2 linked regions of the Arabidopsis thaliana genome follow. The protein of the gene in region 2 interacts with the protein of the main gene of each other region in a pairwise test. Each region holds a gene or a part of one and is shown on either strand. Other genes may lie near its edges.

Evidence for each region.
Region 1: the proteins of AT3G06590 (region 2) and emb1579 interact in a two-hybrid assay, tested with the Arabidopsis thaliana proteins (one study listed by BioGRID).

Annotation. Positions count from the first base shown.
Region 1 is NC_003071.7:949,362-957,887, reverse strand, and holds the start of emb1579 (ATP/GTP-binding protein family), read right to left. Parts: upstream 6,001-8,526; 5' UTR 5,765-6,000; intron 5,576-5,764; coding exon 5,495-5,575; intron 5,423-5,494; coding exon 4,934-5,422; intron 4,825-4,933; coding exon 4,721-4,824; intron 4,492-4,720; coding exon 3,754-4,491; intron 3,658-3,753; coding exon 3,612-3,657; intron 2,972-3,611; coding exon 2,879-2,971; intron 2,792-2,878; coding exon 2,736-2,791; intron 2,521-2,735; coding exon 2,418-2,520; intron 2,272-2,417; coding exon 2,060-2,271; intron 1,976-2,059; coding exon 1,912-1,975; intron 1,568-1,911; coding exon 545-1,567; intron 466-544; coding exon 391-465; intron 268-390; coding exon 193-267; intron 109-192; coding exon 1-108. Other genes in the region: AT2G03140 (alpha/beta-Hydrolases superfamily protein), read right to left, coding at 7,717-7,898, 8,022-8,051, 8,393-8,488. UniProt on the Arabidopsis thaliana protein: Required for salt tolerance and sodium (Na) homeostasis after salt stress. Together with BHLH148/RITF1, regulates the transcription of several genes involved in the detoxification of reactive oxygen species (ROS) generated by salt (NaCl) stress. Binds calcium.
Region 2 is NC_003074.8:2,051,652-2,057,892, reverse strand, and holds AT3G06590 (basic helix-loop-helix (bHLH) DNA-binding superfamily protein), read left to right. Parts: upstream 1-2,226; 5' UTR 2,227-2,580; coding exon 2,581-3,246; 3' UTR 3,247-3,250; exon of another isoform or gene 3,251-4,204; 3' UTR 4,205-4,814; exon of another isoform or gene 4,815-4,893; 3' UTR 4,894-5,146; downstream 5,147-6,241. Other genes in the region: GALK (Mevalonate/galactokinase family protein), read left to right, coding at 6,026-6,188. UniProt on the Arabidopsis thaliana protein: bHLH transcription factor that binds DNA on specific sequence 5'-CANNTG-3' in target gene promoters. Negatively regulates brassinosteroid signaling.

The sequences.
Region 1 (8,526 bases), on a different chromosome or scaffold from region 2:
TGTCTTTTGACGCTTATCTTGGGATTTTGCTTCGTTTTGCTTGACAGACAACTCCTCCTGATGCCTCTTCCGTTGATTTCTTTGCCTCACAATTTTTACACGTAGTTTCTTGAAGGAAACAAAAAATTAAGTATAAGAAAACTGTTCATGCGACTCGGACACAATAACGTCAAAGATCAATTAAAAACTAACTTTGAGAAATTCAAAGATACGGGAACCCATTTGATACTGCAGCATCTCATATAGCGATTCCGCAAACAATGAAATCTGCAAGAACATAGAAGATAGTTTGATGAAAACTATTCAGATGTAACAACAAAATGTGGTACACTAAGTTCCAGTATAAAGAAAACGAAAACAGGCTAAGCAAAACGTAAGGGAAAAACAAACCTCAAATGATGACTCATCAAGGTCCTTGTCAGTGTAATCCAAGAGCGAATCCAAAGAGGCCGAAAGTGAACGCAACTGCCAAAAAAAAAGCAGTTACGACCATAATATAGCCATTACCAAATGTAATGAAACTTCTAATTTCCTGTCCACCTACTTTGGAGTCTTTGTTCCGTTTTGTCTGTAGAATAAATCCAGCGCGAGGAGGTTCCTCACACTTTTTCCTGTCCTTCACTTGAATCCTGGACTCATCTTTTCCACCTCTCTCTTTTATCTCTTTCTCGGTAACCTTTTCTTTTACCTCTTTCTCATCAGTATTATTCCTATCAATTTTCTTCCCCTCAGACATAGTCTCTGAGTTGTTTTTCTTTTCAGCCTTCTTGTCTTCACCTGTCTTAGTGTCTTTCTTGCTTGAACTAGAGGCACCCTCCTTTTTCTTAGTATCCGGAGATCCTGTTTCCTGTTTTACATCCACAGTTTTGGAGGCATTCTCGTCTTTCACATCTTCTAAAGATTCGGCCGTCGGTTTCATCTCCACACTACCTGAATCAGAGGATTTCTTGCCTACCTCCATCACCTTTTTCTCATCACTATCTCCGTCTTTCTTGGAGTCACCGTCCATTTTGTTGTCTATTTCAGCAACCTTCCTTTTAGCCACCCTTTTAATAATTTTTTTCTTTACAATTGTCTTTGCAGGAGTCTGCTCATTAGCCTTAGCACTGGGATCTGAGGTATCTCCAGTTTCAGCTACCTTTTTCACTATTTTTTTGTTAGAAGATGTACCAGTGGACTCTTCTTTTGGGACTGTGGTCTCTGGTATGGCAACATGTTCAGGAACATCCGACTTCTCACCTTTCATACCAGTTGCTTTTCCATCGTTGACAGGCCTCTTAACAACTCTTTTAATGATCTTTTTAACAGTCTTCTTAGTTCCAGTTGTCGGAGTGCCGGAAGTATCTCCTGGTGACTTTTTCTCTGCATCCTTGGTTACTTCAACAGTATCTTTCTTAACCTCCTGAGAGAGTAGTCGATCTCTTTCAGTAAGAGCTTTCCTGTGTGCCAACCATTGGGTTCTCCAAACATCAAATGAAGGAAGACATTCTGATAAATCGGGGACAAAAAGTACTGTGATCTCTTTGTAGCTAAACACTCCATCTGTACCAACTCTGTCATAATGTATCTGTCAATTCCAAAAAAGAGAGGCAAAGCTAAGCTACTTAGATTTCCATATAAACTGGCAAGAAAGTAACATTGCTTTGTTAGCTTATAACTTATCCTAGGTCTACCATATTGACAAAAAAGTGAAACTGCAGTAAAACAGGACACAAATTAACAATTTTTGCAAGTATTCATAGAGCAAATCTCTGGATAAACCAATATCATATCATCTTCAACGACCTCTACCTATAGAAAATAAGAGAGATTGTACGGTATATATACTATCTTAGCTACAATACTCAAGTGTAATGTCCCCACACGTCCAACATCTCAATGCAGTCTTAAACCAAGAGAAGGAAAACCTACCTCTAGGAATGGATTCCAGTGACGGCAGTTACTCAGATCAAGATGAAGCTTATCCTTTGAGTGTCTGCAAAGGAAAAGGTTTTTCAAGTCTCAGACAATGAACAAAACGGCAGCAAAGAATGACAAAAGAATACGTGAAGAGACAAACCTCAGCATTGTCTGAATTAAGGAAGACTGATCAACTGATGGGTCCATGCCATCTGTGGGATCCCAGGAACCACCAATCGCCATGAATGAATGATCTTTTTTAAGAACAGCGAATTTTAATATGTTGCATATATGAGGTATACGATCCTCAAAGAATTTATCTGAAGCAAGATCTTCCAGAGCAGTCCTGCTCAGCCCGCTCATCAAAACCATCTGAACAGCACATAAAACCCATAACACATGAGCAATTCTTTCAATATACTCCGAAACAATAGCAGCAATGATACATCGTGCAAACATGAGCAATGACATAATTAAAGAGGCAATCTTTATCAATGAGAAAGAAAAAAACAGCCAACCTTGGCGTTCCAAACACTTTTTCCTCCAGTTTTCAAAGCTAAAGGCTTAGTGGAAGTACTTTTCACATCAGCTCCACCATCTTCAATGTAATCATGCTCAAAACTGTCGTCCTCAAAAAAAGATGGTTAGGTCTACAAATACATTTAACTAGATAGTATATAACAAAAGTGAATCCACAAAACTTGAATAATGTGTGTAACTCTACAATACGGACTGGGCAAGGGAAACAAAAATCCAGAACAGATCTATTTAAACCAGTTAAGAAGGATTACAATCCTAAGACTGACAAAATGTAAATAAGAAGCAGAATAATTCACCTCACAGCAGTATGCATAGAAAGTGTAAGCTTCTGTTTCGGCCAGTTCACAACAACCTGAAACATATAGTACATTTGAGGTTAACAATCATTTAGAACTCCACTAAGGATTAGATAATAATTGGGAGATAGAATAACAGAAACCTTCGAGAACTCAGAAGGCACAAAAAGCCTGGGATATCTTTTATCTAGTGTCACGTAATCCCTCTCCATGTCAACCAATCGCGAAGATAAAACCTGCACATAAGTCACCCAATAGTTTAATAAAGAATAATGCACACTGCGCTTAAGCACTGCATCACACATACAGAGTGTAAGGTAACTCTGCCCCTCCTATCTCTGTCACCATCAATCTTATTAATGGGAAATATAACAAAAAGTCCTTGATTTGAGAAAGTGGTAAGCATCAAGTGTCTCATCCTTGTAAACATTTCCACATTTAATTCAATACGAAGTCCATCAGAAAAAAAACTAGTAATCAGGTAAACTAACTGGAGACACAAAAATGAGGAACCTGATATATGTCACTAATTTTAAAAGCAGGCAAAATAACACCCAGAGGTGGCAAGAAGACAGAAGCTTGGACAAATAAACCCACAACTAGGAAAGGCCAAGTAAATTCGCCACAAAAGGAAAGAGGAAGTATAACAAGCCCAAGTACAGGAAGATATCCCGTCGACAGAAAAAGAATGAGAAAGCTGAAAGGATTATCTTGATAAATGGCAAGGCTGATATAGTAATTGAGGAGGGACTAAGAGATGTCCAAGTCAATCAATAAGAAAACAACGAGAATGCAGGAATGGAAAGGAAGATGAGGTAACCCTGAGGAGTAGGCAAAAAAATCACTGAAAGAGGAATCTCTTGGAACACTTATTACCTTGCAGACATAATCTCTTCTTATTGGCTTAATCGGTGAAGAACGCCTTCAGGTATAACAGAAATAAGGTTAGTGCCTGGTGCAGGAACATAAAATGCCCTGTATTCCAGATGAAGAACGTGACAGAGATCAAAAATAAAACCTAATTGATGCTTCACGATGGTGTGCATCCCGCCGCAAAGAGGAACTACGTGCATCCCTAGAAATAGATTTGGGCACTGGAGTCCGCTCCTTTGTGTCCTTGGACGTAGCTCTTGCTGTTGGAGTCCGATCTCGTTTTATTTCGAGAGCACGTTTTCGCTCACGTTCTCTTTCTCCTTGTCTTTCCTTCTCCCGTCTCTCCAATATGCGTTCCCTCTCCCGGTCCCTAGCTCTTTGCCTTTCTCGTTCCCTCTGACGCTCTCGTTCTCTGTCATGTTCGCGCTCCCTCTCTCGTTCTCGCTCCTTATCTCTGGCGCGTTGATCCTCACGACGACGCTCTTCTTCTCTTAGATCAAACTCCCTGAGATAACTTGCCCGGTCACCTTTCCGGAGATCATCAACACGAGGAGCAGCGCCAGTACCACGAGCCAGCATGCCACCAGGGTAGTCCAAGTCGAGAGACGCTGCACTATGGATACCTTTCCCGGTGCCATAATCCCTGCCTGGAGGTAAGCTAACACCATAACCAGGATTTGAAGAACTCTCCGGATAAATATAGTCATCTAAGTTTCGCCGAGGAACAGCTCCTAATAACGATGGGGTATGTTGGCTGGCATAAGAAGATGTGTTGCGTACTGATAAACCGTGAGGATCAGACTCAAGCCTTCCTCCATAATGCATTGCTTCTTGGTCAGAATGACGCACAGTAGAACTTCGTTCTGTAAGATAATCGGTTTGTCTGCCAGAAATGTATGCTACTCAGTGTAATAAGATATGTTTTTTCTTCAATCGTTATTGAAAGTTTTGACAAGAAGTTACAGTAGCTTTATAACAAAGGTCCTGAGAGAACAGATCTGAAAACAATACAGATAACAGATGTACCAAAAAATACAAACTATTTGAAAAAGAAATCTATGCTAGAAAGAAATCTGGCTACCGATATAATAGAATCAATCATCGAAAAATACCTGTTGACACCTGCATCAACAGAAGAGGTATGAAGCGACTGCATTTTTAATAATTGTTCTCCTCGGAGAAGCGATGCTTGATCAATGCGATCATACAAGTCAGTCTGCCAAAATCATATAATAACGAGTATCATCAAGCCAATTGTAACAACATTGAACAGAAACCAACCAAATTCATAAGATTTTCTCTTAAAAATATGAGAGTAGGCGCACCTGGCGAGCAAAATTAGATGGATCAGCATATCGCCTAGTTGGTTCATTTTGCAACTCCCTACCGAGATAAGAGCTTGATTGTTCACCATACTGCCTTCTATCAACGGGAATGTAACCAGACAGCTTATCGGAATACAAATCGTCCGTCTTTTGACCATAACCATGGCTCGAGGGAGACAAATAGCTTCCAGATGCAAACTTTGGTGAATCAGGTAAAGTAGGGACATATCCCGAGCGGTTATCCAAAACTGATGAACCTAAACCATTGGTGCTTAAAGGCTGAGAGCTGCTAAGAGAAGTTGATCCATACACAGAGCCATATTGTGTTCCGTAATGACTAGCAGCTGTAGATAAATGAGATCTGTATCCACCACCAATGTCAGTCTCTTGAGGAGCACCTGTAATTGATGGATGGCGAGAACTCAAAGAAATCTGAGAGCCTCCTTCTGCGCCACCACTCACTGAACTTCCAGGATAGCCAGATCCAAGCTACATAACAATTACACATAAATTAAGCATAATTAAGCATAATTTGGTTTCAATTGAAATTGATGATCTTACATTCTGAGAATAACCAGATTGCGAACCGTATTGCTGTTGACCGTAGCCAGTGCCTCTTGAAGAATACATATCTCTATGCATCTGGTTTCAATTTTGTAATTTTAGTTAGTACATTCTTTGAGAGATAATACGAAGAACGAACAATAACAAAGATTTATCAAAAAAACAACATGAATCAACCGAAATTTTCACGTCCCTAAACTACAATTTCGAATTCACATACATGATTCGATCAAGCGAGTAAAATTAAATTAAATTGACGGACTTTACCTACAAGAAGATTGAAAAATTGTTTCTTCTTTGCGTGTCTTACGTGTTGAGAGAAGAGGAAGAGACTAAGCAATTGAGAGATTAAAAAGGGAAAAAACAAAACCCTAGAAATCACAGATAGAGGAAGAAGACGAGCTTGAGAGAATGGTTTGAGGATTAGTTTGCTGTGAAGAAGAGAAAGTAAAGAGAACGATATGTTTGTTAGTAGTAAGGGTTCAAGTTAGAGGACACGCATGCATTATCTTTTAATGGGCTTATATATTAGCCTTTTTATAAGTTCGTTATAGGCCCGTTCTTTTATATTTTCAAAACAAATTTGGCCCGTTATAGGCTAGTTTGAGCCTCCACTTTCTGTATCTCTTTAAGGGCCTTTGTTTTGGTTATGTATTGTATCGAATGTTTAATATAATGTTACATTTGTGAAGAAAAAAAATGAAAAAAAAAATGAAAATCTAGCATTAAAAAATTTAGATGGTAATGAATTTTTTATAGTTAGTATAAGATTTAGTAAATCACCATTTTTGATATATTTGTCTAAATATCAAAAAAAAAATTGGAAACTTTACTCGAGGCTTGTGGTTTTGTCCAAAAATATAATGTCAAGATCCATTACTCTTCTTTGTATGATTCTATCAACAGAGGTATAGCATCAGTGGAGTAGCACAATAGGCACCAGCTAAGTTAAAGACTAACTGCCTCACATCACATTATCATTTCTCCTAAGCTGTTCTGCCATTAGTTTAACATGAATGAATAATTGCAAGTGATAAATCAATCTCCATGTTGTTTTTGTTAATAAAACTGAATTCAACAGTGCTTGTAGTCTGTCAAGTGAGGTCCACATTTTAAATATTTTCAGAAGAGATCACTCAAGATGTGAATCCTGCTTGTAGTCAGAGTTAAGAGTCCAGTTCGTCAACCTGCTTGAAGTCATAGCTGTTGGATTTTCATCTCATTCTCAGTTAAAAGCGACTTCAAGGAGGTAGATGAACTGGACTCCAGGCTCCTTTACTCTGACTCGAGTTTCGCTACTTTTGCTGCAGATGTTTTTTGTCTGAGACAACCTAAAACAAAAAATCAGCTAAAATCAAACCCCTAAAATGAAGACCATCAGAAGAGTGTCTTTTTTTACCAAGAACAACCAAAACCATTTTTGTTTTTCTAATAAGCACATCATCAAACACAGACAAGTTTGAAGCAATAGGAGTAATGTTAATAGGAGAGCGAATTTGATATCACTACATCTTTACAGGTAAAACTTTCGTAGAATGCTTAGTTTCTAGAATTCCTTCATTCTAGATCCTGTATGTGATCTTGAACTTTTGTCGTTCAAAGCAGTTTTCTAGTTGCCTTTGAGCTATAAAAGCAAATGGAAAATCACATACATGGATGGAAAAGATGATTACCATGTGTCTCATTAAAGAGACAATGAGTCATATCTTCAAAATGTCATCAACACACTTTGAGGCTTTGCCAAACGTATGCACCTAGAATACCATCACCATCAAATGCATAAAAAGTATATTAACAAGCGATAGGAAGTATAACCTTCACAAATGCCAATTAAATGATGTAAATGCTGTCTGCTTTCAACCACTTCCTCCATCAGATTCTCCTCAATGGCAAAATGGTTCCTTTCTGCAAAATAGACAACATTCTCCAAGTAGCCGAGATAGTGTATGTCTATTTCAGCAATTGGCTTAAAGCTTCCAACCCTTTAAATACCTCTAGATCATTTAATAGTCCAACGGGCTCAGTATCACGATTTAAAAGGTCAACCACAGTCTCGTTATACACTAAGCTCCTTTCTTGAGTCTGCATAGATTTTACAAGATTCATGGGTAAAGAAGGAAAAACATATCATATCTTAACAAAAATACAGAAATAGGGACCTTCAATTTCATCGGTAGCTCACTTTTCTTATATGCTCGTATATATCTCTAACAACACTTTCAGTAACCCCCATGTGCAAGTCTTGTGATTTCTGTATTCAACTTATTTACATTTTTTCTCAACTGCATAATCCTGCAACTAAAGATCAGTCTCCTCCTCATTCCGGCCTTGCGAGAAAACTCCAACATCTTATTGTGCTTTAGTTCATACCGTTTACAGGTAGCCGCAGCAGATGTGCACCCTAAAATGATAGAAGTATATACCACCAAAACAAAGAGTTGCTTTAAACATCTAAAATAAAGTTACAATTTGAAGTTCTGGACTATGGACTATGACACAATGGGTCAACAAATTTAGTCGTTACCTGCGTGCACTTCCAACTTCCTGACTCTGACTGTAGAAAACTAGACCCCATCTCATTATGCAGCTTCAGGTCGTGTTATAGCGTTGTTACCAACTCTTTTTCCCTACCCACTGAATCGTATAGACTATAGACGCATAGTCAACATGATTCTGAAATGAATACTAAACTTCTTTTTGTATGATCTGAAATAACTTTAGTTTTCATCTCTGCCTCAATAACAAGACCGACACAACAGCTTTGAGATACCCAAAAGATCACATACAACTTCCATATATCATGTATACACTATTATGATACTTGTAATTGAACAAAAGCATATATTCTACTAGGTACAGAAGATGTACACAAGGGGTCTTATGCGTCCTACTTACAAGCATGCAGATCCGAAGCTCTTCTTCTGTCCTCATTTTCTATACTTTCACCTATTCTTTTTTTATTCTTCTGTGCATAGTAAATCAGTTTTCCCTCTGCAAATCATAGAAAGGGCATGAGCACAACATGTCAT
Region 2 (6,241 bases):
AAGAGTTAGGCTTCCAAATGCTTATAAATTAGTGTACGTAATCTAACAATAATCATATTTCTACTATTTAAACAGGATTTGGCTGCTATCACTGTGAGAAACCAGGGACAAAAAATCAACTACTTCTGATGAAGCGAAACACATAGAAGTTGGAAATATCATTTGAAAAAAGAAAAAACTACACAGGTTAGTGTTTTCATATTTGCCTCTGAAAAGTGTTGTTAAGTTGATGTTAAATTTACCAAAAGACTATTAATCATTTCATATTAGCAATCCAAAATAGACCCGTTGAAAAAACAATGATTGAGCATCATCATCTGTTAATCTAATCAATACTTCCCTTTTTCTTCCTTTAAAAAGAAACTAGTCCTTCTTCTTCCATTGTCTGTCGTTCACTTAGTTTATTTGGTGTCTAGAATTAGGGAGGCAATCTCTGTGCCACCTTCATCATACTTAATAGTTAGTTTTCCTTTCCTTATCAACTTTTTTCATTAATATAATAAGAAAAAACTCATTACATCCGAGATACATAATGATTTGCAAATAAATTTGAAAACCTTAGATAGCTGGAATTATGATTTACAGTAGTAAATTTTCATAGTAACAAATTTGAACTTCCAATCCGAAATATATTTATTTCTATTAATGGAAGATAACAATTACAGCCAGCAACCTTTGTGATACATGTTTTTTTTGTTGTTGTTGTTGAAGTAGAGCCCATGAGAATTACGCAAATCGCAGATTCGAATAGTGGTTTCTTTGACTCAGTTCGTAAAACAGATAATTCATTAGGTTGCTTTGTTCTTCACCAACAAATTTTCTGCTTGATTCTAAAGTATAAATTGAGAAAATTTAAGTATCTAAATCGAAAATATATTCTTAAATTCGAAGTAGATAAACTATTTTATTGTAAGTGACACTTTAGTGAATAATTGGATATGTTGTTTCTTATCATTAATTTGTCATGTGGAATCATTCTAGCTTATAACTTTCTAAGGTACAGAGAATATGCCACGTTACTGACACAATTATTAACCCTTAGCCCTTAGGTTAAATGAATACTATTATCTATGAAGCATTGCGCATTGCGCTCTGTTTCTAACATCCTTTCCACCCGCCTAAAAACATCTTAATACAGTATATATACCATTGTGGTACTTTTATGTCTAACATAAACTAAGATAGGTATTTTCCATTTTAACTGCTGATCAAACTCAACATAGTGAACAGTACAAACAAAAATCAAACTAACAGTAACTTTTCTAGAAAATTAGTTTGAACGTAGCTAGCTTTATTTATATATGAATTAACCCAATGGAGAAGTTCAGAAGCTCCTTTTTTCAGCAGGATATATGAATAAAATGACGCCACTCCCTTATACTTTACCCAACAATCTATTAATCTTATATCTACTTATACATATACACAAAATTTAATGAAATTTTATTCATACATATTGATAGATACACATACAAAACTTTTTTTTGATAAAATACAGGAGTTAATTTCAGTGATCTTTTCTTTACAGGGAAAGAAAAAAAAGCCGTAAAGAGAGGCAGTGCCACTAACCCTACATCGCACATGCATTTCGTTTGGTATATTACTTTATGCGTAAAGTAGTATTTTAAATACAATTCCAATATTTACGAAATCATTGCACTGAATACAAAATCCAAAGTTTTGAGTTTTTGGCCCCTCTCTTTTTGCCCTGTCAGTCCATTAAACGACCACTATAAGTCGTAAATGGATTTCTCCAATAGTAATATGACACGTCATCCTTTCGTTTGAATCTACCTTCCTCCTCCATTCCACCAAAGTATCGGCCTTTATACAAGTTTGTTTGTTTTCTCTTTTCGTAAACATCTTTAGATATCAATAAGCTAATTTAGTAATTAAGATTGTACCCTAAATTGATTGGAAACTATCGTTATGGATGCTCTACCCACATTAGGATCTTTGTAGCATTTCTATTATGTATTTTACTCTCTATTTAGATTATGTCTACAAAAGATCGAAAACTCGTGATTGTAAGAAATTTTGTATATAAATTTCTTTCTAAAATCTCTGTCAAGAGGGTAAGTTTAAAAAAATAATTGTGAACTAATCAACGTGGAACAAAACTTTTTAAGTATAATCATAATTCATAAACATTGCTTCAAGTCACAATGATGTCTCTGTCTCTCATTATTCCAAAACCATTAGAGGTTATAGAGCCAGTTAATTATAACTTATCAATTCCACTAGTGTTGAGAATGAAATTATTTGTTTCTTGGTGGTATTCACGAATTCTCTTTATCATGCATTACAAATGCCACTTTCGTATCTGGCTAAAACAACAAATACTAAAAAACAAATTGACAAAACGACGCCGCTTATTAACTGCTACATCTAAAACGGGGCCGTTTGTTAACTGCTACGTCTCGTGATAGTTGATACCTCTCTCCCTTTATATATCTTCCTCTTCTTCTCCCTTCCATTATTCTCCACAATTTCATAACTTTCTTCCGCTCAACTTCAGATAAATTCGGATTCTGTAGCTCTTTCAATACGACTGCGGAGATCAGAGCCAATTATTTGGTTATGGCGTCTCTGATCTCAGATATTGAACCGCCGACGAGTACTACTTCAGATCTCGTTCGGAGAAAGAAGAGATCCTCTGCTTCATCCGCCGCATCGTCTCGTTCAAGCGCATCTTCCGTCTCCGGTGAGATTCACGCGCGATGGCGATCGGAGAAGCAACAACGGATCTACTCAGCCAAACTGTTCCAAGCGCTCCAACAAGTCCGCCTCAACTCTTCCGCCTCAACATCATCATCTCCAACGGCTCAGAAACGAGGAAAGGCCGTCCGTGAAGCCGCCGATCGAGCTCTTGCCGTTTCCGCTCGGGGAAGAACACTCTGGAGCAGAGCGATCTTAGCTAATCGGATCAAACTGAAATTTCGTAAACAGAGACGTCCTCGAGCTACGATGGCGATTCCGGCCATGACTACGGTGGTTAGTAGCAGCAGCAACAGATCGAGAAAACGGAGAGTGTCGGTGTTGAGATTGAATAAGAAGAGTATACCGGATGTTAACCGGAAAGTACGTGTTCTAGGCCGGTTAGTTCCCGGTTGCGGTAAACAATCCGTACCGGTGATTCTAGAAGAAGCAACTGATTATATTCAGGCTCTGGAGATGCAAGTGAGAGCCATGAACTCTTTAGTTCAGCTTCTCTCCTCCTACGGCTCAGCTCCTCCACCGATTTGATGAGGTTAAAATCGTCTTTTTAATTCTACCATCTCTCGATCTTTCACAGCTTATGTGTATATAGAAGATTCGGTTTGATTATAATCTGTAACTACTCTTCCCAACCGCTGATTCTTCTCTGCTACAAGTAAAAGTAAATTTTGAACCGAGTCTTCCCATTTTTACGATCCTCAAGTCTAAATTAAGTATATGATTGATTAATAAAGTCTTTACCATTAGGGTTCAAATCGTAGTTGGATTATTTGATTTAGATTGATGAATTCGTTGTTGATCAAAAAAAAAATAAGATTGATGAATTCGTTATTGGAGTTAGTGGGAAAATGGGTTCCTCTTTTAACCTCATAGTATGTGATAACTAAACCAATATGGAACTTTTGATGTACTTTTAGTTCATTCAATATGGCTTTGTACTATATCATCTTATGTACTATATGAAATTTCAACATGAAATAGATTTGTACTGCAATAAAGTGGAAAGAAAATAATTTCCCATTTAGAATTTTAAAATACATTATAGTAGATGTAGGAAGATAATGGGTTAACTTTAGTTTTGATTATGGTAGCATGTGATGATGCATTAGAGAATGAATGGAATGATACATTCAAATTCATTGAATTGAATGATGACTGATGAGATTGATCTGTCACTCAATCATCTACTCGCTTTATTGCCCCTCCTTTGAATCCCATTTTTGATACTTATAGGTTGTTTGTCTTCTTTTTCTTTTCTTTTCCTTATTTCACAAGAAATATAAAGGAAAAAAAGAAGAAAAAAGATTAAATTAGCTAATAATTCCCTGTTACTAAATAAGTTTTCTCAAACACTAATCTGCAGTTCTGCACGTACTGTATATCCTTCAATATTCATCACGAAGCAAAACTGAATAACCTGTAGTTAAAATTGACTTAACAGGAGTTTGATTCATTAGCTTAATTAATATACGAATTTCTGTGATAGGGATATGATTTAAGAACACTGGAGTATGACTAGGCGACAACAAGAGACAAGTGACGACAAAAGCAAAAAATATTTAAAACATAGAGAGAAGTGACCTTAAAAGTATGAGGAGGCACATGGGAGTGGCCATGCCTTTGTCCTCTTGTTTCTTTTTAAGCCTTCTCTTATTAACTTGCACGACAACTCTTTTCATCACATATTTCATAAGTTATATTATTATTGCCAAAAGGGACAAACTATTAGAGAAAATAAACCGCAACATTGTAGAAGATTGGATTAAAACTCGCCAACACACTATTAGAGAAACTTGCCCAGATAAAATTATGTCCATGTCGAACACAGTTATAACCAAGGAGCCTAATTCCCAAAAAATGATTTTTATATTTGGAAACCATCCATTGCAGATACTCCTGGAGGTTTCTCCTAGTCTTCAGTGCCGAAGATTTCACGACAAAAGAAGACTTGAAAATCTCGATACTCTTTTGCGGAACTTTCCCACCGCGACACAAAGAGATCACTCCACAGAGATATGAGGCAGCTTTGAGTCCTTTAGACGCGGCTTTTGCAAACATTCGATCCCTTTCTCTTCATCAACAATATTACTGAATAGGTAAAAGCACTTCACAATTCCTTCACGAGCCACTGCTTCCGTGTTTCCGCTCTCTCTGCATCTCTTGAGAAAACTCTAGCTTTAGTTATAGGTCATCGTTTGCGGTTTTGATTTCGTCGAGGCAGACGTGTTCGAGAACTTGAGGGTCGTTGCAGAGATTATGTAATGATTTGCATACGAGGCTGAAGTTGAACAAGCTTGAGTGAAGAAAGAGCCACGCGTGGCAAGATCTCCTTCACAACCACTTCTTCTGGGAGAGACTCCATTTTATAGTGATTTGAGAAATGATATTTTAATTTAGGGTTTCAACTTAGACGTTTGCTTATTAAATTGTGTGAATAAATAAATATATATATATATATATATATATATATATATATATATATCATTAATAAATAAATAAACGATAAGAGTAACCTTAAAAATCTAGTTGAACCCTAAACCCTATGGCTAATATATACAATGTAATATATTATTCCTCTAATCATCTTTTAGAAATTTTTTATTATTTTTAATTTACACATAAATCAATATCTTTTTCAGATATAGTTTTATCTACATTGTATGTAATACCTCCATGTTGCTACACGTTAACACTTGCATATTTGTTACTCAATCTAATTAAGCAGGAATTAAAAACAACGGTTAACCGGAAAACTTTTACTATTTATCCATTCAGTATTATCTTATAGCTCAAATTACTTTTAGTTTTTACATATAGGATATAACTCTCACACACGTAAAATACGATTAAATTTAAATTCAAACTAGGACACTTATCTAATCTAGTGTTATCTGAATTCATAGAGTGTTAGAAGAATTAGGAAACGTTTTTTAATCAATAACATCATTTTTGGGAATAATATGTTTATCAAATATAAACCTACCCAAAGAAAAAAAAAATCACCAACAAATATAGTACGAATTAAGATTCATAAACGTGTTCCGGAATCCAAAAGATCGAAAGTTTTGGATAAGTAAGATATTCACAAATATTCATTTTTAAAATTCAAAATATTCGATAAATACAAGCGATCTTCCGGAACAGATCTTAAATACGATAAACAATTAATATATTTTAGAAATAAGATCGGTGGCAATTAATAATTATGCTCTAGCGAAGACGTTTCGTGATAACTGTGAACATTAGAGGTTAAGTGACGACAAGTGATCGAGAGAGACAGAGAGAGCCAAAAGGAGAAACTACAAAAATGGCGAAACCGGAAGAAGTATCAGTCCCGATCTTCACATCTCTTGAGCCTGTCTACGGCGAAGGATCTCTGCTCCAAGAAGCTACACAACGATTCGATGTTTTGAAGGCCAATTTCAACGATGTCTTCGGTGCTTCTCCCCAACTCTTCGCTCGCTCTCCTGGTAAATAATCTCGGGTTTTTGAATTTTTGCAAAAATTGGAATTTCGTTGACTT